Bombyx mori: one gene and its partners. The protein of the gene in region 1 purifies or fractionates together with the protein of each later gene. This does not show direct contact. Links are inferred from orthologs where the notes say so. Each region holds a gene or a part of one and is shown in the gene's direction. Other genes may lie near its edges.

Evidence for each region. The genes of interacting proteins can lie anywhere in the genome.
Region 2: the proteins of F-actin capping protein beta subunit (region 1) and CCR4-NOT transcription complex subunit 11 purify together in Homo sapiens (co-immunoprecipitation; 3 studies listed by BioGRID and IntAct, with this or other methods). This does not show direct contact. The link is inferred for Bombyx mori from reciprocal best matches to the Homo sapiens genes CAPZB and CNOT11.
Region 3: the proteins of F-actin capping protein beta subunit (region 1) and regulator of gene activity purify together in Homo sapiens (co-immunoprecipitation; 4 studies listed by BioGRID and IntAct, with this or other methods). This does not show direct contact. The link is inferred for Bombyx mori from reciprocal best matches to the Homo sapiens genes CAPZB and CNOT2.

Annotation. Positions count from the first base shown.
Region 1 is NC_085109.1:2,865,414-2,873,344, forward strand, and holds F-actin capping protein beta subunit, read left to right. Parts: upstream 1-2,540; 5' UTR 2,541-2,688; coding exon 2,689-2,691; intron 2,692-2,814; coding exon 2,815-3,199; intron 3,200-4,019; coding exon 4,020-4,219; intron 4,220-4,739; coding exon 4,740-4,851; intron 4,852-5,650; exon of another isoform or gene 5,651-5,651; coding exon 5,652-5,779; 3' UTR 5,780-6,875; downstream 6,876-7,931. UniProt on the Homo sapiens protein: F-actin-capping proteins bind in a Ca(2+)-independent manner to the fast growing ends of actin filaments (barbed end) thereby blocking the exchange of subunits at these ends.
Region 2 is NC_085125.1:1,941,238-1,949,145, reverse strand, and holds the start of CCR4-NOT transcription complex subunit 11, read left to right. Parts: upstream 1-3,282; 5' UTR 3,283-3,781; coding exon 3,782-3,825; intron 3,826-3,901; coding exon 3,902-3,993; intron 3,994-4,820; coding exon 4,821-5,044; intron 5,045-5,232; coding exon 5,233-5,393; intron 5,394-6,423; coding exon 6,424-6,574; intron 6,575-7,422; coding exon 7,423-7,554; intron 7,555-7,908. UniProt on the Homo sapiens protein: Component of the CCR4-NOT complex which is one of the major cellular mRNA deadenylases and is linked to various cellular processes including bulk mRNA degradation, miRNA-mediated repression, translational repression during translational initiation and general transcription regulation.
Region 3 is NC_085113.1:7,418,349-7,426,260, reverse strand, and holds the start of regulator of gene activity, read left to right. Parts: upstream 1-3,286; 5' UTR 3,287-3,645; coding exon 3,646-3,696; intron 3,697-5,578; coding exon 5,579-5,860; intron 5,861-7,443; coding exon 7,444-7,627; intron 7,628-7,912. UniProt on the Homo sapiens protein: Component of the CCR4-NOT complex which is one of the major cellular mRNA deadenylases and is linked to various cellular processes including bulk mRNA degradation, miRNA-mediated repression, translational repression during translational initiation and general transcription regulation.

The DNA of each region.
Region 1 (7,931 bases):
TGAGCGTCGAAAGATTTTCCCGGTTTTTTCCCGATTCGCCTCTCAATCCCTAATCGCCCCATTTTACGGTACCATTTATTTATTTAAAAAAAGAATCTCGGTCTTGTCACGAGGTTTTGTCAAACTTGTTTAGTCGTTGAGAAAATGGAATTGACTCGAGAAAATTCAAGAGCGATGATTTATTATGACTTTCGAAGTGGTTTAACACAAAAACAGTGTGTTGACCGGATGATTTCTGCATCTGGTGATGAAGCCCCATCCAAAACCACAATTTATCACTGGTTTGCTGAGTTTCAACGTGGACGTGTCAAGCTCAGTGATGATCCCCGTCAAGGTCGTCCAAAAACTGCAGTCACCCAAGAAAACGTTGATGCTGTGCGTAAGCTGATTGAGGAAAATCGACATGTGACATACCGCGAAATTCAGGCAACTTTAGACATTGGCATGAGTCAAATACAAATAATCTTGCATGAACAATTAGGTGTAAAAAAGTTGTTTTCCCGATGGATACCGTATTCGCTCTGTGAAGAGCGAAAAGCGGCTCGCGTTACTTGGTGCGTCAGAACTCTCGAAAGATTCCACACAGGATCCACAAATGCTGTATACAACATTGTATCAGGTGACGAATCCTGGATATACGCGTACGAACCCGAAACAAAAAACCAGTCACGAGTTTGGGTGTTCGAAAATGAGTTAAAGACAACAAAAATTGTTCGTTCACGGAGTGTTGCAAAAAAATTGTGGCCACTTTGTGTCCAAAAAACCGGCCATGTTACGACTATTCCTCTTGAGGGACAAATAACGGTTAATGCAGAATGGTATGCTAGCATTTGTTTGCCATAGGTCGTTTCTGAACTCCGTAAAGAGAACTGCAACCGCCGCATCATCCTCCATCACGACAATGCGAGTTCTCACACCGCGCACAGAACAAAAGAGTTTTTAGAGCAAGAAAACATAGAATTATTAGACCATCCGCCGTACAGCCCCGACCTAAGCCCTAATGATTTCTATATTTTCCCTAAAATAAAGAATAAATTGCGTGGACAGAGATTTTCATCACCTGAAGAAGCTGTGGACGCCTACAAAACGGCCATTTTGGAGACCCCAACTTCCGAATGGAATGGTTGCATCAATTATTGGTTCCATCGTATGGAAAAATGTGTCAAATTTCGCGGAGAATACTTCAAAAAGCAATAAATACATTTTTACATAGTAATGTTGTATCACTTCGTTAATTCCCGAAATTTTCAGTGCCGCCCTCGTATACATAAACTATGTATAGACTTTTTGGCGGTAATTCAAGAAGCAAAGTTGTGTGAATTCTTTTACTTTGTTAATGTAGTGTTTATTCAGTCCTAAATGTGTGTTAATGGTTGTTTATTAACTGTTTAATATCTGCAAAAATGCATAAATTGAGAAAATGAACAAGATATCTGGACAAAGTTTCGCAATAAATAACCACTACGTTTTTGAGACTGTTTTTTAATCCCATACCATTTCGTTTGATTTAAGTTCACTCCTATTGATTAATGTTCCAAATTAATCAACTTCATGGTAGTTTCCCAATTACAGAGCATAATACGACTCAGTGGCACACAATGCCGAATTATGCTGAAGCTTAATTGGAACGTGAATTAGTTTTCAAATGCATCAGCAGAGTGCGCTGTTGTTCAGTGTTGAAAAAAAAATATTTACGGAGCTAGCAACCTCATTAATGTATAAATAATGTGGTAAACAATAATAATTGGTTGAAAACTATTTACGGTTATTTTAAGTAATTTGGATTTCGATTATTTCATTAACATTTTTTTTCGTTTTGAGTATTTTTTAAATGAGTTCTAAGAAAATGATGTGTATACTTTTTAATTGAATCATCTTATCCAGATGACAGTGATGACGATAATTTATCGAGTGCTCCGAGTTTAAATCAATCAATTATTTCATTATCAAGTGATATATTTATTGAAAATATTTATGATAATGAAACAGATGAGTTATTTGAGCCATTAATAAAATCTCTGATGACAGGCAGTACTTTTGAGAGTGCTCGATTGTGCGAAGCGTTGCTGTAGTTGGAACATTCAACGTTGAGCATTATGCCGCATAATGCGCTCTAGTGCTGTTATTGGAAAACTATCCATGATACCTAGGGATGAAAGGCTGTTGGTTTAAACGAAATTTTTGCAACCTTACACGAGAGCCATTTTATGTTTAAAATTTGAAAAAAAATATCATAAAGAAACCTCTTCAGCTATTTGAATGTGGTAAACTTAATTGAAGCTCAATTAAAAACATCGATATGTTGATATGATACAAAATAAAATGCACCTTTAATTATAAAGATAAATGTCGCGTATTAATTGAAATGTCGCTTAAACTAAATAGCTACTCACCACCCGATATAGAGCGAAATGAATTACTTTATATTATTTTTATAAAACAGAATATGCAAAAGATTAGGTTAAATGACTTTAAAATGATTAAGTTAATCCCTTCGCCTTTCTAGTGAAAAAAATATAACTACCACTACATATGCAGGTACTTTACTAAACTTCAAGTGTCAAATTACGTCAAGTTATCATTTTCGGGTTGGGACTTTTAAAACTTGTAGTTATTAATTTAATGAAATAATTATACTACTTTGGTTATTTTGTTATTAATTGTTAATCCGAATAATAAAACTTCAATATGGTAAGTTGTCTTTCCAGTTTCAGTGACCTGGCATACATCATAACAAGCTATTTGTTGTGATGACTAATGCAAGGAAATTAAGAAGTATTTATACTAAAATCGTGCATATATATTTTGTTACAGAGTGACCAACAAATGGATTGTGCACTGGACTTGATGCGGAGGCTGCCCCCTCAGCAGATCGAAAAGAATTTAACAGATTTGATAGATCTCGTTCCGAGTATGTGTGACGACCTATTATCATCAGTAGATCAGCCTCTAAAGATTGCTCAGGATCGTAGCAACGGGAAAGACTATTTATTATGCGATTACAATCGCGACGGTGACTCCTATAGGTCTCCTTGGTCGAATACTTACGACCCACCATTAGATGATGGCTCCATGCCCTCTGAACGCTTGAGAAAACTAGAAATAGATGCCAACCTCGCCTTTGATCAATATCGAGAGATGTACTTTGAAGGTGGCGTTAGCTCAGTCTACCTTTGGGATATGGATCATGGCTTTGCAGGTGAGCACTCTTAATTTAGTCTCTGTAAATTAAAGACATGTATTAGAACAGTAAATTCCAGGGTGGCTGTGCATTACAGAAAAGTAATAATAGTATTTTTATTACTTTAGGGGGCAACTAAAGAAGACTAGTAGAACAGAAACTAGCAATTTTTAGTTCTTTTATATTAATCTGTTTGTTTGTTGAAGCACTTCTCTGGAATTTCTGAATGGATTTTCACTTTGCTTTCATATAGACAGATATTAATTTAGAGATCAATAAAGAGTTTCATAAAATTTAATTTTGCTAGAAAGTTATTGTTAATTTTAAATACTTTTATTATTTACTTTTATACTCTTTGATCTTAAAAGTTCTATAACAAATATCATTAACAATATGAAAGTAACTGTCTATATGTTATGTTTTCATCTCTAAACCAGTATGCCAATTTTTACAAAATTCTGTGGAAATAGTTTGAGCTCTAAGAATAAATATAAGCTATCTTTCATTTCACCACTGGGTATGGATCTCTATAAAGTGTAAAAACTACTTTTAAATAAAGAGTAAATAATATTAATTTGGTAATATTTTTATACTTTTAGTTAAATAATCTCTCACATAAAACATTAATCTTCATGTTTAATTGCATCATCTTTTTCATTCATTATTTTCATTGACACTCTATTTTAATTCTTTGAAATGATTAATGAAATATTAGTGTATATAATAGTATTTTATAGTATAAAATACTCATCTATACACTAATATTTCATTATTTAGTCCACCTTTAAATATTTAAAAATAATAATTACAAATACAAAAATAAACAAAACAATTTCAGGAGTAATATTAATCAAGAAAGCTGGAGATGGTTCCCAAAAGATCAAAGGATGCTGGGATTCAATCCACGTAGTGGAGGTGATCGAGAAGAGTTCAGGACGCAATGCTCACTACAAGTTGACCTCGACTGCAATGTTGTGGCTTCAGACTAATAAAGAAAGCAGCGGCACGATGAACCTTGGAGGCAGTTTGACTAGACAGGTAAATTTAGTTTTATTTTATATGCACAAAGCTTAATAATATTGTGCAGGAGTTCTATTTTTATATTTATGCAACAACAACAATGCAATTGCAGCCTCACAATTGCATTCTGGTACTGCATCCCCAAATCTTAATAAAATTATAATGCCATCATCATCACTATCATTCTCTTGCCCTACTCCCAGTGACCTGGGGTCGGCGCAACATGTTTTCTCCTTCCATACTCCTCTATCATAAACTATTTCTTCTTTACTCCCCTCTTACACATAATATCATCTTTCACTCAATCCATCCAATTTTTTTAGGTCTATCTCTCCCTCTAAAGCCTTGCACATTCACAGTTAAAACTCTTAACAATCTCATTGTCATTTCGTCTTATTACATGTCCATATCATTCCAAATACACACTTCTTAACTTCTCTGTCCCATGTGCCTCTTTCAGACTTTCTGTATTCTATCCATTTACTCTAAAATTATAATATCGTATTTTTAATATTATAGATTATCTTTTGAATTTCAGGCAGAACAAGACTCGACAGTAAGTGATGTGACTCCGCACATTGCAAATATTGGGCGCATGGTGGAAGACATGGAAAATAAGATCAGAAACACACTTAACGACATTTATTTTGGTATCAATTTTTCCTTTTAAATTACTTTATATTTAACAGACAAGTTATTGCCACTTTCAAATTTAAAAGACAAGTTATTGCCACTTTCAAATTTAAAATTCATTCTTCGTTGCACTATTTCCCTATTGCACTATTTCTATGTCATTACTTCTCGTAAGATTTTTCTCCACCTGTTTCTTTTTCTGGTGGTGTGGAGGGCGTTGTGAAATGTCGGACCATGGGCAGGGCGGATCTGGTCGGCCCAACTTATTGAGCCTTTCGAGGTTGCTTCCATTCTTCTTTACACTGTGACCGAAGTAGTCAAGGACTCTGCGAAGACTGCGACTCTTTGAAGTCGTTGTGGCCTAAAGGATAAGACGTCCGGTGCATTCATATCTAGCGATGCACCGATGCTTGAATCCCGCAGGCGGTTACCAATTTTTCTAATTAAATATGTACTTACAAATATTCACGATCGACTTCCACGGTGAAAGAATAACATCGTGTAATAAAAACCAAATCCGCAAAAATATAATTTGCGTAATTACTGGTGGTAGGACCTCATGTATGTCCGCACGGGTAGGTAGCACCACCCGCCTATTTCTGCCGTGAAGCAGTAATGCGTTTCGGCTTGAAGAGTGGGGCAGCCGTTGTAGCTATACTGAGACCTTAGAACTTATATCTCAAGGTGGGTGGCGCATTTACGTTGTAAATGTCTATGGGATCCAGTAACCACTTAACACCAGGTGGGCTGTGAGCTTGTCCACCCATCTAAGCAATAAATAAAAAAAGACACTGAAGGTGATGATTTTGTTTTGTAGGTAAAACAAAAGATATAGTGAGCGGGCTGAGGTCAGTGATCCCGGCGGACGTGGCGCGCCGCACCGCCGCGCTGCAGCACGACCTCGCGCTCGCCCTGCAGCGCCGCCACGTGCAGCGCGACGACTGAGAGCGCCGCCCCCGCCCCCCGCTCGGCACACGTGAGTGCGGACACCGACCACAGACTCTAGAACGAACAGACTTACAATTTAACCTAAAAAAGCAACCCCAATTAAAACGTCTAGAATTAAAATTATTATCCCAACTACAATTATTAATAAATCAAAAATATAAATTACTATCTATATAAATTAATTTATTTATAAATTGACTTCTAAAACCAATACATTTATTCTGCCAAAATAGTTTATAAATTAAATATATAAATCAATCATAAATTCAACATAATTCAATATAATTGCAATATAATTGCAATGTTTAATCCTTTCGTACTAAAATATTATAAATATTAAAAGATAGAAACCAACTTGGTCCACCTGATGGTTGTCTGGAAGAGATCGCTCTTAGCGATAAGACCGCCTATTGTACTTTTTTATTTATCTAATGTTTCGCATTGTTTAATTTTTTTTTTGTGTACTATATAGAATACTCTCTCTCTTTCTCTCTTCCAATTTTTCGATATTCAAATTTTCTTGCGAAGGCGCAGTCGATTGAGATATCGGCCTCAAGGGTATAAGTTCCGACGACCACTGCATTACTGTATCACGGTAGAAATAGGCAGGGTGGTACCTACCCGTGCGGGCCCACAAGGCCTACCGTCAGTAAAACTGTCACTTGTCACAATTTGACAACAATTACACATATCGAGGGGTGAAAGGTCATTTGGTTGAAGCGACATTTTTGCAACTGTACAGGAAGCTAATAAGGCTTAAAAAAAAAAAAATAAAAAAAAAAACTTCAGCTATTTCAATGGCGTTCGAATTCTTCTTAATTGAAATTTGATTAAAAATATCGTCTTTTGATGCTAATAATGGAAATTCGAAATGTCGCTTAAACCTTTATATACATATGTTATAATAGTCTTGCAACCCTCGATATATTTTTTTTGTTTAAATTTCAACTTTAATGATAAATTAATTGATTAAAATTATTTATAAAATTACATTACGCACTATGAACACACAATATTATATGGGAATAACCGCAATTTTTCTGCTTATTTTTTATGTATAATATGTAAAATAATACATGACATACAGCCCGTAGTTGAGATGTTTCATTGTTAAATTACTGTCCTTTTTGTACTGACTTCTAGTGTCATAATACGGTTTCGCAAAACAGGAAACTTTGTAGGAACGTATCTACCGTGTAATTTTTTTTTCCCTGCCTTACCTGATAGCCTTGAGAGGCTATTTCAGCTTCACCCTAACATTTGTAGGTGAGCTCGCGGGGCTCAAACCGGAGAGTTGCTAACACTGATCTTAGCAAAGAGCAGTGCTTCGCAGAATCTACCACCGGATCGGAAACGCGACCCACTGAGAAGATCCGGCGAGAAACTCAGTGGGCTGTGTCTATGGGTACCGTGTTATAGGCGAGTCACCCGTATTTATATTTCGCGTAAAAAATTACAGATGAGGTGGAGACGTTCGGTGATGTAACGAAGATAGAAGTGTTGCAAGAGGATAAACAGTGAAACGAACCTCACGTGTGAGAACTTATGAACATTAAATTAATTCCCCCGGTATATATGTCTCGTTAGTGTGTAAATGTAGATTTTAAATATGGCCGTTTATGGTGCTTTAACAGTCTTCAGAATTACGTTTGTTAAAATAATAAATATATACATACTTACAAAGAGAACAATTTCGATGATTTATAAACTTCAGTAGTGGCCATTTTGGCGTTATTCAGTTAATTAAAAATACATTGGATTTCTCTCTCTCTCTTTCTCTCTTTCGTTTTAAGTGTACCTACCTACATTAAAATTTTTTTTTTAAATTGTCAAAATTCAAAGAAATTTCTTGTTAATGTATAGAGAATAATGTAAACTTAAGTAATTCGCTTAATAAAATGATGTATAATGATTGAATTGTTCAATGCTTTATGCCTTAAAATAAAAATATATATTAATAAGAAGTAAGTGATTGAAGTTTTAATTCTTCTTAATTTCGCAGATTGAAACTTGACTAATAACTAAATTTTCTGTCAAAATTTTTAATATTTTTAAGGACTATATATGATTGACTCATCGATAACCGCGAATAGTCTAAATTTAGAAAAAAAAACCTTAGTAAGTGTTCATAGTATGCAATTTAAAAAAA
Region 2 (7,908 bases), on another chromosome or scaffold:
AATTAACCATCATTAACATATCAACAACAGCCCGCGTACGCCGAATAAGCGTCACTTCTTTCGTTTCTGCGTTTCTTTCTTCTTCTTTCTTTCTTTCTGACCTTGGTCTTCGGACCTCCTCGTGCCGCTTTTGTTGCATAGCGCTTTGCAAATGAGGTCGACTCGTGTGTAAAATGTGGGTGGGTGGCGGTAACCATCTAAATTTATATCTTGTTATCACCAGATGAGCTGTGACCTCGTTTGCTCACTAATAGGACAAAGACACCACAACGCAACGCCGAATGTGAACGTTCATCTCGCGATTTGAAATCGAAACAACATTTATTTTGAGCCTCTAATCTATAAAGCGCTGACCAGCCTTTTGCAATATATGATCTCGGAGGAGCTCACAAAATATCTTTTTTAGAGGTCTTTCTCAGAAGTTTCAATAAAGTTACGTTACGTAAGAGTCAATTCGTAGAGGTGACTTCGTATCCTAAACTGCTTCGATGTTAAACGGTTACCAGCTTCCCTGGTTTTTTTTTCGGGCCGGTGGGCGAACCTCCTACGAGGGCGCGCGGGGTATGTGGGACTTGCCGATCTGCTGATAGTGGGGGTTTCCGTGGATATCACAACGTAAATGCATCCTGCAGGTATCTGCCTTGAAACATTAATTTATAGTCTCAATCTTTTGCCGAAGAGTCTGCGACAGAACGACAGCTATCTCGCTCTTCCAATGAGCTCTAGAGTAAATCCATCTATATAGTGAAATAAATAATGTACTAGGACTTTATTGTAGAAACGCGAGGAGCCAAGTTGAATTGTTTTAAAGTTTCTTGATGTTTCTTCAGATTTAAACGGTTAATAACGGTTATTAACTTTTTTGCATCTGTGAAGATGCACGAATGTTGGAAAATAAACCAAAGATTCTTGACGTGGATTCTAGGGTTCCTAAAAAAAGTCCACCGAACTCGCAGTAAAGAGTAACTGTTTTACTAAGATTTTATTTTATCTTAGACTAGCTGACCCGGCAAGGTATGCGGGAGAAGGCACAGAGGCAGAAATCCAATGCGCTGGTCGGACCAAATACGCTCCACTCTCAATACCTCAGTCCACGTTGCTATCCACACAGCCGAGGACAGGCAGGAATGGCGCAAGATAATGCAGGAGAAAGTTATTAGAGGAGGCCACGACCCTCAGCACTGAGGATTATCGGCGCAAGGAGGAGGAGGAGCTGACCCGGCAGACTTCGTAGTGCCTCAAACCTAAACTTTTGTATAAAACAAACTTAAAACAATCAAAAGGAATCAGTCCTACGGGGGAAACTTTAAGGAAAAAACAAAATTGTTATTTTTATTTAATTTCCAGCATTTTCATATTTATCTACCTTTTAAATCTTCTCTGGACTGCCACAAATAATTTAAGACCAAAATTAGCCAAATCGGTCCAACAGTTCTCGAGTTTTAGCGAGACTAACGAACAGCAATTTATTTTTATATATATCTTACATTACATTGTTTCATTTAATTTCATACCAATTTATTATCCCGTTAGAGCGATTCCGATCCGGTAATAAATTCATTTGCGAAGCAGCTACTCTTGAGTTGTTAGGTCTCCTTTGGAGGTGCTTGGGCAGCTTTTAGCAAATCCTACCTCTCTTGACTAAGTCTTTGCTCGCCCTCCTGTCTTGATGAAGTTGAAAAGGCCTCCGAGCCACCAGCAATCCCTCATTCATAAAAAAATAATATATCCACGCATCTGGTTGAGGTTTGGACGGGCAAAGAGTACAGATGAGTCATTTATTAGGTCCCCAAAATGGTGCCCCATATATAAGGCTTTCTTTAAGTTACGGCTCATAACATGAGGTTGCACATACCAGGTGTCCCACAAAGGATATATTAAACTAACAACTGTAGATAGTGTTCTAATAGAATAGGTAATCGATTTGACGAAAAATGATGTTCCCAATAGATCGAATCGAATCGGTGCTTCTAAGTGTCTCTAAAGTTTACACTTTATCTACGGTAGGATCATTATAAGCTAAGTTAAAAATTAAACACTAAACTAAAAGCTAATAGCGGTGGTTTATTAACTGTTTGGTACCTGTGAAAGTGCACAAAAGTGGGAATATTAAACAAAAAGCCGCTGGACGTGGCTACTCTGAATCCTCCAAAAAGTCCACTGAAAAAGTTTTAATAAATAACCACCATTTACTGAGATTATATTTCATCCCGTATCATTTCATCTCATTTCATTTATTTTCGTGCCAATTGATTAGTGTTTCAAACTAATCAACTTCATTTCATTTCACAACATAATCATTTTTCATAAAAATATAAATATATATATAAAAGATTAGGCTTTATCGTACGATACCTTTGCCTTTCAAGTTTAAAAAATGGAACTAGACAAGAAAAAGAAGAATAACTAGAATAGTCATGCGCAAAATGTATCACTGAGCTGAAAAGGTAGATACATATCATTTCGCGCTAAAGATACAAATCACTAATTTAGCTCACTAGACCAGTGATTCAATTCAATAGATTGGTCTCTCAATTAATTCATTTCTTAGCCTAGATTATTTAGCTCAGTATACATATATCACTCACTTTGTATTGGAATATTTACAATGGTCAGTTCATTATATAACTGTCAGGGCCTTTCATACACTAAGTAATAGAAAATATAGTTTATTTACACTGTTTTATGATTAAACTTATTGATGGTAGGACCTCTTGTGAGTTCGCACGGGTAGGTACGACCCTGCGTATTTCTGCCGTGAAGCAGTACAGCGTTTTGGTTTGAAGGGTGGGGCAGCCGTTGTAACTATACTGAGACCTTAGAACTTATATCTCAAGGTGGGTGGCGCATTTACGTTGTAGATGTTTATGGGCTCCAGTAACCACTTAACACCAGGTGGGCTGTGAGCTCGTCCACCCAACTAAGTATTAAAAAAACATTAAATATTTACAACATGCAGCTTACCATAGAACTAGACACATTAAGAGACTTTTTAAAATATATTTTTTGATAAAGCATCGCGTTATTCATAATATGTATTAACTTCGCAAATTAATGGCTAGCTTTTTGTGTAAGAAAATAAAGCAAGTATAAATTTAGTTTCAAAAATACAAGAGTTATGTTAAGCTTTGCTCTTAGAGAAATAATGTACATTTTTCCTTGACAACCCAATACGTCGAAATGAAATTAGCGTGAAGTGAACGGTCATTCTCGTCAGCCAGCCTCACGATGCATCTATCTCACTCATTCCTTTTTCTTTCGTTCGCTCATCAATTCACGATACTTTCATGAGCTAGTGATCTAGTGAGCTATAAATGAGTTACTGATAATTTGGAGCCAGTGTTAGTGATACATTTTATCGGTGTGAGTGATATATATCTTTTATATCACTCACTCAGGAGCTATACATCCTTACAGTAGAGCTAAGCTTAATGCCACAGATAAGACATTTAAACAGCTAATGCCTTCAATATACAGAATATACTATATAACTACACCTACACTATTTATGAACTACAAGCCCTAAAAGAAGTTGTAAGTTTGTAAGGTTATACTGTTTTCGTAAATGATATATCAAGTGTACATACAACAGTACCAAACAGTACCTAATTCTCCAATTATAAATAAACTTGTAAAATTTGTATAATTGTTTCTTAATGAAGCAATTTTGTATTGTTAACGAATTGTGTTTTGACTTTTACTAAAAAACTTCTATTTTCATTATTTTGTGTTTCGTCTAAGCGTATAAATTTATTTGATAAGTATTAGTTAAATAAATAAAATGTCTCAACATCTGATTAATGAAAACAGTAAATACATACTCGAGTAAGTAAAAACACCACGAGAAATTAAACTTGCAAAGTTGTTTATGTTGTTATTGTTATTTATTTTTTCTTTTTAGTTTATTTTCCGAACAGACAGTCGATTCGCAGGGCTTAGATTCAATATGTGTTCAAGTTCAAAAAAAGTTCCCGAAGACCGATCATTTTAATCGTGAGTAATATATTTTTATTAAATATCAATTCCACTGGCAGGACTATGAGACTTGACTTAAATTTAAAGATTAAAATTCCTGGGAATTTAAGTTTAGCCGTGTGCTTATCAACATTACGTTTACACACCACACTTACAGGATTTGTCCTTTCAAGGTAGCTTACATGAAAATAATGATAGGGTGGTAAATTCAGGATGATAATGTATTAGCATTTTCAAATCAACCTAAAGATATGGGTATCTGTGTACAAGACTAGTGTCTGTTAACTACTGTTGTACTGTAAATTAGCAATATCCCTACTAAGAAACCCTAATAAGATGTAATGTTGATAATAAGTGGTCCATTTCACCGTACAGCTGTATAATACACCTACCAAGCTTCATCTCTGCACTCCCCTAAGGTAGACTGTTAGAGAATGCCTATGGCATTAAGTCCGCCTTTATACTTTCTAGTATAAGAAGTTATAAATAAATAAATAAATAATGGTAATTAATTGTGGTTGTTAGTGAATGATAGCTTGTTTCATCTCCAAACATTTCAAAGCTCATCAACTAGGTAGCAGAACCTTATTGTGGTATTTATCATCTCTGTTACATGCTTACCCAGGTAAAATTTGAAGTATATCACCTGAGATGTGTTGTTGAAAATATTCACAAACCATAACAGGAATATAAAATGTATAAATTTCTCTTTTTGGAAATCCCCAATTTAGAGTTTGCTGGATTATACTTCATTTTCAAATGATAGTATCCATACACAACTTTTGTATTGATATCTATTTAATAACAATCATTAAAGTTATATATGAATATAAATTTAATTTCAGTAAGTCTGCTCCTGTCATCGCTGATTACGGGCGGAGATCTTTCACTCCCTGGGCAGCGTGTTGTTGCACTGGCTCTTCTATATGACTTCTACAAGGGAGAAAACCCATTCAGCCCATTGTTCTTGCATCTCCTAGAAGGGAAGCTGGGTCTTCTGCCTCTAGCTCCACAGGAGAGACTGTTTATAGGACAGCTGCATGGATTCTTGCCTGTAAACATTAAAGATGTGAGTTTCACTTTATGATTTTGGATATATATGATATTAAATTTATTTAAAATAAAATCCTATATATCGACGCTTAGAAGGCAAGTGTGACTAAGCGACAATGCGTGAATTTTACAGTAGACTAAGACTCGTTTTTACTATTTACTGATGTAACCAAAAAAAATGATCAGTTATTACCGAATTTGTAGGTTATGAAAAAATCAGCAAAACAAGTAATGATGACAGAAGTATCTCCTAAGGACCTGGAGTTTGATTACTCACCGCTGCAGGCGATTGTGGCCGAACGTTTGACTGACACCAGTGCTGTGGCCCGGGCCACTTGTTCTGCATTGATACCGCTTAGTGATGGGTAAGACCTAACATATATTATGAAATATAGACACATCGTCTTTTCGCATTAAAAGTGTACAATTTCCAAAAATACTCGAAATTGAGTTAATATGCGGAATCATTTGGTATCACCAGTATTTTTCTCATAAATACTGTCAAAAGGGCGTAGTTTTTTATTTTTTGTTGTTTACCTATGTTTTGCCTACTATTAACTAAATTAATACATAATTTTATCTTACTTTAAAAGACAGATAATGTAACTGGTAAAAAATAAAAAATTAAAGTTGCGAAGATGATTAGTATTAAAAATATTACATGTTTATAAACCTTTAAAACACTCTCCTATAAAATTAGTAAGTTTTGAGATTATATAGTTTTAATGCAAGGAAACGACATGATTAATTTAAACCTAGTAAAATCTGGAGATATTGTAATGTAAATTCAGTTTTCTATAAAAACGTTCTGGGATTGTATTGCTTATGAGCTAAGGCCGATTTTAAAGTAAAAAAAGTTGACTGAGTTATGACTGATAAAGGTTTTTATTTTATTGCATGAGCCTTGGCCCAGTTAAGGTGTTACTGGAACCTATTAGTAATCACAAGTTGATTTTCGCCCTCTACAACCTCATGAACTTTCAATTCAAAATATTACATGGTGGTACCGACCGCTTCATTAAAAATATAGGAGCATTATAACACGATTTTATTACTTAATACAAACAATCAATTTACTGGCGGTAGGACGTCTAATGTGTCTGTACGGGTAGGTACCACCGCCCTGCTTATTTCTGCCGTGAAGTAGTAATGCATTTCGGTTTGAAGGGCCGGGCAGCCGTTGTACTATTAAAACTGAGACCTTACAACTAATGCCTCAAGGATGGTGGCGGCATTTACGTTGTAGACGTCTATTGGCTCTGGTAACCACATAACACCAGGTGGGCCGTGAGCTCGTCCACCCATCTAAGCAATAAGAAAACATGTATATTTCCTTAAACCTTCATTAAAATTGTTTATAAAATTTGAATGAAAATTTTCAAATGATGTTTCCAGGAGTCCACCGAACCGCCTTGCCTTGAAAGAACTGCTAGAAGCCTTGATGAGTAATGAGTATCTCCCGCTGCACCGAACGCTATCGGCCGCCGGACCCATCCCACCGCCCACGTTCCTCATCGACACCAATGATGTGCCTTTTGCTGACGAGGTTAATAGCATTACGCTGCTTTCAGACTACACTATACTATAGTGCCATACAGTATAGCAGCGTATACTTAATCAATAATATATAGTACAGTACAATGTGAATGTGTCCATAACAATACATGGTGCACATTATTGTTGTGGTATGAGCTATATACTATATGCTATTATATTATAACGTAGTCTGAAAGCGGCTTTATAGGGATAGGCATTATGACAAACTCAAAAACGATTCAGGAATAAAGTTGATGACCTAAACTCTTGAGATTGTAGTTGTGAGCATTTTTAGACGTTCATATCCACCGATATACCAATCTATAGAAATGATCACTGGTTTGTTTGTTTGTTGTGTGTAAGCTCATAACGAATTGCTAATGTTATACAATTTAAATCATATAACTAATATAACTAGTGGTCGCTCGATAGTTGAATATAATTAACGTAAACTATAAGTTTGAACATTATTAAGGGACTATTGTCAAAGACTTTCATAGACTTTTTTAATAACAAATTTCACCAAGGCTACACTATAGATAAATAATATTAAAGACGAACAATATTAATCTATTCTCAATTTGACCACAGACTTTAACAATAAACAAAAGAGTATAAATGTGTGTGTGTGTGTCAAATACATGGTAGTGTGTGTAATGTTTTTTTTTACTGATTTAAAGTATTTCTTATGCATAATTTAAAAAAAATGACATACTGCACTCCTTCTCTATATTCTCAATAAGTGTGGGAAATTTCATACTTCTCCGTCTGCGGAATTTTCATAAAAATGGGTACAAAGTATTTGCTTCACGTATTAATATATAGATTCTCGCAACTCACTGTTAGCTTTCTGTACAGGGCGTTTGGAAGAACTTAATAAATCGCGGCACGTATATACCGATGTATGACTCCGACTACGACGGACTGATCGGGCTCCGACCTGAGAAGATCGATAGAAGATCGCAGCCTAACCAACAGCACAAAGTCAAGGTAAAGTTATTGTTTTCTGTGGCAAGATCAGTGAAGCCCTCGTGCTTGAAAAATCCAATCTATATACATAATATACACAATATATACGCAATATATTTTTCTCTAGTCTAATCTATATATCTATATATTTTTATATATAAATGAATTGCTGTTCGTTAGTATCGCTAAAACTCGAGAACGGCTGGACCGATTTGGTTAATTTTGGTCTTGAATTATTTGTGGAAGTCCAGAGAAGGTTTGAAAGGTAAATAAATATGAAAATGCTCAGAATTAAATAAAAACAAACAATTTTGTTTTTGCTTTGATGTGTCCCCCGTCGGACGGATTCCTTTTGTTTGTTTAAAGTTTATTGTA
Region 3 (7,912 bases), on another chromosome or scaffold:
ATCACATACTTTATAGTAGTATACTTTACAGTAAATAAATAAAGAAAAATTATCAATAGAAACATGACTTTTAGACATGTGTAAGTAATGCGAGTGATATTACTCCGGTAATATTACTCTACGATGTAATGCAACATCACACATTACGCGAAGGAAACAAACATCACACTATCACCCACAGAACACTATTACTTCTAGCGAAGCTATCACCCAACATGTTTCTTTCTTTGTCGTGTAATGTTGCTTGATACACGAACGGAACCGAGCGAGCGAGACAGACCGATCTACGCAAAATAAATGAGCAAGCGACACGGAATTATTCCTAGTGATTTTGAACCGTATGCCCTGGCCGCTAGGTACGTTTTTATACCTATGGTACGTCTGAATTTAATATATCAAATACTAAATCAAATTATATTAAGTAAAAAATAAAATTATTATATTATTAAATAAGTCAATCTCTGTCAAGTAATATAACAGTGTATTACAATACAAAGTATGAACACATCACTTAAGTAATGATTCGGGTGTATAGATACAATGTATTCGTCACAGTATCTATTGAACGCACCGAGTAATGTTAAGAGTGATGTGTAATGTTTTCGAGTAATATCACCTGTCTGTAAAAGTGATGTCATATCACATTACATTGAGAAGTGATGTTTTGCGCAAGTCTAATGACTTTGGTTTTTAGTAATTTTTTAATTTGGTATTTTTTTCAAATTTTAATTTTGTTTCTTGTTTTTACTCATTATTATCATAGACAAATGTTTAGAACATTAAATTTTAAGACAAAAAATGCTATGTTAAAAGTGTTTCTAAGATTTTCTTATCAGAACTATCTATCAAGATAGTGAGTTTGTGTAATGACCTTATCATCCATTCAGTGATATAAATACTATTAAGTACATTGCATGGATTTTTAACCTAAAAAGAAATTATATCTGCCCATTTCAATTTTTTTTAAACAAATATTCTGAACTCTACTGTAGATTATTTTGAATTATAATTAAATCTTCATTTATAATGAAGTCATTCCCAGAACAAGAATGTCAAAGTGTTAGTGTTCTGAAAAGATATCATGTTTATCTAAATAATTATATTTTATTATTCCATCCCATTTATCACTTTTATAATCAATTCACACAACCAATGTAAAACTTGAATGTGAAGTTTTTCTCTAAATGTGGTTGTCTAAATTTTATAACTACTAGTTATACTGGATAGAATTAATTGAATTTTTTTCATCTTTTCATTGATGATTTTATTTAAATGTAATTGCATCACAATATTTTATGTTTTTAAAGTGATGCTTCTTTTTTACTGTTTAAGGCTCTGCATGAAGAGATTGATAGCTAGTGGTCACGATCACCCATGTCAATCAAAAATGTCATTTACATTATATTATTATGTATTAGTTACTCTATAAAAAGTCACATTAAATCTCATTATTGTTTCATTTTTACTATTCGTAATTTCTAATTTTTTAGATTATTTGATAATTCTATTCTGTTTGAAATTTTGTGACTTTTCTATTGTAACACCTAATACATATTGAATGTTCAATTTGAGAAATCGTAATAGTCGTAATCAATACTGCTTGGTCACATGATTGTTCGTTCGTATGTTCTTTGAGTATGCATAAGGTTGTATGTTAGTTTTACGGAAACCTACATCTTCTTCTGAAGTTCAACCTGCTTCTCCTTCTTTTCATAGTATTCCATAATCTTGAGACGTTGCTGCTGGACAAGACGGCCCTTTTCGATGTTGAACTCCTCCTCGGCCTTCGCATCGATTTCTTCGGCCTTTTCGTTGGCCTCTTGTTCGATGAAGGCCATCATGTGCTTGATCTGAATTGAAAAATATAAACATTCTGATCAAAAATACGGAGTATAATGCTCAAAAACATGAAGTCCAGTCGAGGCAGTCTTATGAGTTGTCGAAATTACAATGGCACATCCCGATCAATGATCGTGACATATAATCCTTAAAATACTTGATTTTGTAGATAAATCAGTTTTGTTTATAACAAATACCTGTTTCTGAACATCTGCATCGCTGAGCGCCATGGCTGCTGCTTATTTTTAACACCACTAACACGAAAAACGGCCGATATAGAGCCAGAAAATTAATGACTGGCTCGGGGAAAGAAGTCTACGCCTATCAGACGTGCTTCTTTATTGAACAATCATATGATCTTAGTGTTGCCAAAAAGTATTGATCAGACATAGACAATTTTTTCTGAAATATTCAGAATATGAATCAATATATACATCTCGATCCTTCTTTGCTCGATGTCGGTAAGTGAAAAGGATATAAGAACTAGGTCGGCAGAGGCCGTATTCTGGTCGCTAGTCATAAAGCACGCAGAAAAACTTTTTGATTTTGTTCTATTTATGTAAATAAGATATAATAAACTTTTTTTAGCTATTATAAAATTTTTGGAATCAGATAGCGTTCCCATGTTTGCCGCCAGAGGCACTGTTTCCACTACATACAAATTTGAGATCTTTTACGCAATTGAGAAGTTAAAAAACTTGCACTAAGCACACCGAAGGACCGTCTTCTGACCGTTGTCGAAACTTTGTTAAATCTGCAATAACAGCAATGTGCACCCGATCCTTAAATATTTTCGTTAATGTTTTGAAATGAAATCCACAATTTAACTGCTGTTGTAAATTGTGAATTTGAACTAGGTAAAATGTATTTTTAACGATTTTCTACCCATCTGTACCAACGCCAGTGGTGGGCGAGCTCACAGACCTCTACCTGAAAGAAATTGTTAACACTGCTCTGGCTTCGCTGAATCTACTACCAGTTAAGAATCAAGATTCAATGAGAAACTCAGTGAGTGTCATAGGGGTTCAGTACTCTCAGTTAAGCTTCGATTTTACGACGCTAGTGGAGGGTACTTGAGACTGGGTTGAAGAAGGCCGAAGGCCTGGATCGAATAAGGCAACGACGATTGTTCGTTGTCATCATATAGGTCGGGAATGTAATTTACGGCGGCTACGATAAGAGGGCTATTACGCCGTGCAGCTTCCTCAAAGAAAGGTTCTGATGTTCTCTTCAAATATTAACGAATCGCTTCTAAATCCAAGTATTCGTGAAGATCTGAATCTTATACACCGTATACATTTTCCTTGTTTAAAATTTTCATTTTCTAATGTAAGATTTAGAAAAGGACGAAGAATCAAATATTTGCTATATATACCTAGTTAAATTTCATTAGATTGTAGTCTACGTAATGTGTGCGTAGATTGCTTTCAGACGCCATCCAATCTGCCGGAAATGTTGTATTCACAGTGATACAGAAAACACCTCAGGGAAGATAATAGATGTCTGACTCGAACTCGTTTTCAGTTATGTTTAAAATATTTTTTGGTTGGGTTTTATTATAATGAGACCGTCCGATCCATTCATCTGTTCACCTATCGGAATCATTAGGAAAGATGAATGATCCACCAAGCTTCCGGCACTTTGCAGGAATAGTTTAGTTTTAGACAAGGGAGGTGGGTAGTTTATAATTTTCAAATAATGGTTGTGAAGTTTAGATTATTTAAAAAATAAGGCTTTAAGTTAAAAAATAATTGTTTTAATCCTAATTTAGAGATTTTTTAAAGTAATTCTGAACAAAGATAAGAAATGAAGAAACGAAGTTCTACGAGGCACAGTAGCCAAACTCATGAAGATCAGGTTTGCTACTTATAGTTATGCTGTAGAGTCTTATAAAACTCTCAAATACACGTTTAAGCACAGTATTATGTACAGTATTACAGGTTTATGTACAGTAACGATGCTACGGATTGCACTAGTATGGGTAGTATAGTAATGTAAATTAAATAATTTTATTGTAAATTCTTAAAAATATTAGTATAAATTTTAAATGACAGATCTATAATAAAGAGACAAAACGATTTATACTATTTAAACTATTTAATAAAATTGTCAAAACTATTTTTATTTTTTAACAAACTAATTCATACGGCCTGGTTTTGAAGCTTTTTGATAATTTCCGTCTGCTTCTTCAACCTTTTAACAATATGGCCGCCTGTTGTTTAGGGTAATGTGGCGTTCAGCGAAATCGTATGAAAATTTTAAAACATTTATCAGTGACGTAAAGATGTATCAAGTTTACAGTGTTTTATAGCAGCGTTTTACGCGAAGACAGTTTTATGTACCATTTATATTGGTGTTTAAAATTTTGAATGCACAAAAAACATCAAAATTGGACAGTCAACAAATCTTGTTTATTACATCGAAGCGGAAATATTTATCTTGGCAGAGTATACGCGATTATGAACCATTCTTATTCTTTATAAAATAGTTGAACAAGGACTGATAATAGGTAAATATTGACAACGTTCTCAAAGTGAGCCCAACAACATCACAACAAAAATTGTCGCCATTGTTTGACAGGGGCAACTAAGCCATTTACTGATCTTTAATACATTCTCCATATCCTCTCTACTGTATAATATGCTCAACTGAAAACAGTTTTGTGATGCTCTTCAACTATCATCTCTCTCATACGTCATGCATACACTTAACCAAAGTTTAAATTAATAATAAGCAGCATGCAATTCCATATATAGTTAAGTATTCCTTCTACTTTCTCTTTCACATTTCCAACTACTTTACAACCGATTACTCCATGATTTAAATATTAGTTTTATTTATATTATATATTTATAGCCCATATTCCATAGAGTTGAGTCACACAAAATTGATCTCTTTTGTCTCAAACTTGATAACAAATTTTCTGATTTACAACAAACATTGTATTCAGAGGTTCTGCACATATTGGCACAGAATTTAACTGCTTTTCCGTTTAATATAACCATTGTGTCAACATACTGTAATTACTTGTGCAAAATACTTAAATTGTGAAAATTATTCTTATAAATGAACTCTAAAATCACAATACGAACCAGATACTGATAATGTAAGAGCAATAAAAATTATATCTGCTTATAAAATTGGAACACGATTTAAATATTTGAAATTGTAAATGAAATAGGCATGAATCTGAATAAATTTTATTCTACATCAACTTCGTCTCACACTTCCTTGACAATACCTCTGTAAAATTATTAAATATGTCCACTACATGATTATAGTCCATTGTGTGTAGTCATTTATCTATTATATATTATTAAGAGGAACTTTTACCAAGTAGATGGGTATTTTTGCTTAAGAAACGTTTTATGTTTTAGATCAAAACTAAATTAAATCTAAGCATTCACTAGGCACAAGTCAGGTTTCCGGTAAATGTAGCATAAAGATGTTATCCTTTTCCCCTACCTATGCTGATAGCCTTGAGAGGCTAGCAGAGGGAGATATTTCAGCTTCCACTGAGAAGATCCAACTAGAAACTCAGTGGGCTGTGTTTATTGGTTAATTTACTCGTTGAGCCCTTCGCCACAAGCAGTGGGTTGTGCAGGTTCAGAGAGGACGGTGGCCGGTGCTTAAGGTACCTAAAAGCACCGTTTATAGATCGGGAGATCCGTAATGACGTGCTTAGGGCAATGTTACCTACAATAATTATATCATATTGTAAAAAGGCTTATTTTTTTAGGTTATGGCAAACTTGAATTTTCAACAAGTGCCTCGAAGCCTAGCTAGTGGCGGAGTTGGTGGCGTTGGAGGCAGAGTGAGCTCAGGTCTTGTTGGTAGTGTCTCAGGACATGTGACACCAACTTTTGGGGGCGCCTTGTCGCCTGGCCGTAATTCAACTGCAATGCCAGGCGGAGCTCCCCCATCAATGGCATCTAGAGCTACGTTGTTTGGTCAACGAGCTTTTGCAGACCGAAGGGTTACAATGCCAACAACTTTATCTCAAGCTAATTCTAATTCAATGGTAAGTATTTTAAAATATTAATTGTGTATATGGCTAAAAATCAAATTAGTGTTTTCTGCTGATAAATATAAATATCAATGAACTTTACTTAAATAAATGAAATGCTTAGACTTTAAATTCAGACATACCTTGAAGTAAATCATCATGTCAGCTAACTTACACCACCATCTGTTAGAAACCTAAGGAGGTCAAAGAGTATATAGACACTTGAAAGGCAAACGTGACTAAGTGACAATAACTGCTTTGTACATAAATGGTAGGCAATAACCATATTCGATCTGGAAAAACAAATATATTTCTAGGTATATTAAAATTATTTCAATCCTACAGCTAGATTTGTTAAAATATAATTTTTCTCAGGTATTTCAACTTTAAATTAGTCTACTGTAAAGTTCACGCATTGTCGCTTAGTCACGTTTACCTTTCAAGCGTCGATATATTCCTTTGTTGAAAATTACACAAATAATTAATTAGCAACAAAAAATATTGTTATTATATATTGAAATAAAAGCTGTCATATCTTTAAAATTGTAATAAAGCACATTTTTGTGAAAAAAAAGTCATAAATTGATTACATAGTTCTGGAGTTCATCTCAGACAAATGTCTAGTTTTTATTATAATATATCTAATTAGCCCCAGCTATTTTTAAAAGATGTGGAATCAGGCAAACTGACATTATTGCCATTATTACAAGGGTGGTCACATCTTTGGTGAAGTAGAAAAACAAACTTCTCTACCAATACCTTATTATTTTCCTAATACAATATTTTAGAGGTCTGATTGCTTTCGTTATCTATTGTCTTAAGATCTTAATTACCAGTCAACAAATTTTATTTTACATTGATATTAAGACAATTTTTATGAAGATCTAGAACATGTTTTAGTTTTGGTAGAGCTTGTCTTTAGTTAAGTTAGACTTAACTTTAGTTCTGCAGTTCTTGTTTTAATTATTTTGTTAGTAAAGAATGAAATGTCACTATCTACCTGACTCTTTCTGATTTTATAAAAAGCATTACAGTCACTTTGTAATGATTAAAATGAAGCTACAACCTTTTTTTAAATCAAATAACTTCATTGTTACTTATAATTTTATTAGGGGAACACAATTTATATAAATCTATAAAACTTGCCTGCTGGGCTAAGTGTAAATTTATTTTAGTTTTAGCAATCAAACATAAGTGATAAAAATTTAATGATGAGTGAATGTTAGCATAATTTTCAAATGTTATTGAATAACACCAAAGAAAAGTTTGAAGTTTGGAAATAATAAATCTAAGATTAAACTATTAAGAAAAAACTAACTAAGTACTTATTGTGTCTAAGACTTGTAGAAACTGCAGTACACACTATCTAATTATTAATATGCAAATTTGAGAATTTTTTGTCTATGTGCTGTTTATTGTTAAGGATTTTAATTTTAATAGTTACTTTAAACCTAAATTTTGAATATTTATTCGGCCTATGCTTTGATCATAAAACACATTTACCTACTTTTTATACAAATTTAGTTATTTATTATATATATTTCATTTTAGAATAGATGTTTAAAAATGAGACTAAAGGGTATATTTTGTTTCTACAGTCGAGTATGAGTAATCTGTCACGGTTCAACGCTGGCAACAACTACCATTCAGTTTTTGGTGAAGGTGGTGACACATCAACACCACCACTTCTGGACCTAAGCGAATTTCCATCACTAACAGCAAGAGGCGCGGGTGACCAAGCACCCACTACAGCACCACCACCTCCGGGCTCTAAACCCTATGGTGAGCAAACACACTTCATAGATTATAAAAGGAAGTCAAAAGAAAATTCACAAAATGTAACTTTCAACATCATTACTCTAAGACAATAACGATACAGCACATAGACGTCATAATAAAACATCACCAAAATTTTTTTTAGAGTGAGAGTTAGAAACCTCAACTTTTAATCTAGAAAACCGATATGGAACATGATGATGTTGAATATTCTGGGTACTCAGTAGCTCACATGGCACTCGCAACGTGTCCGTGTGACTTTAGCCCACAATATGTGTAAAAGTAAAATTT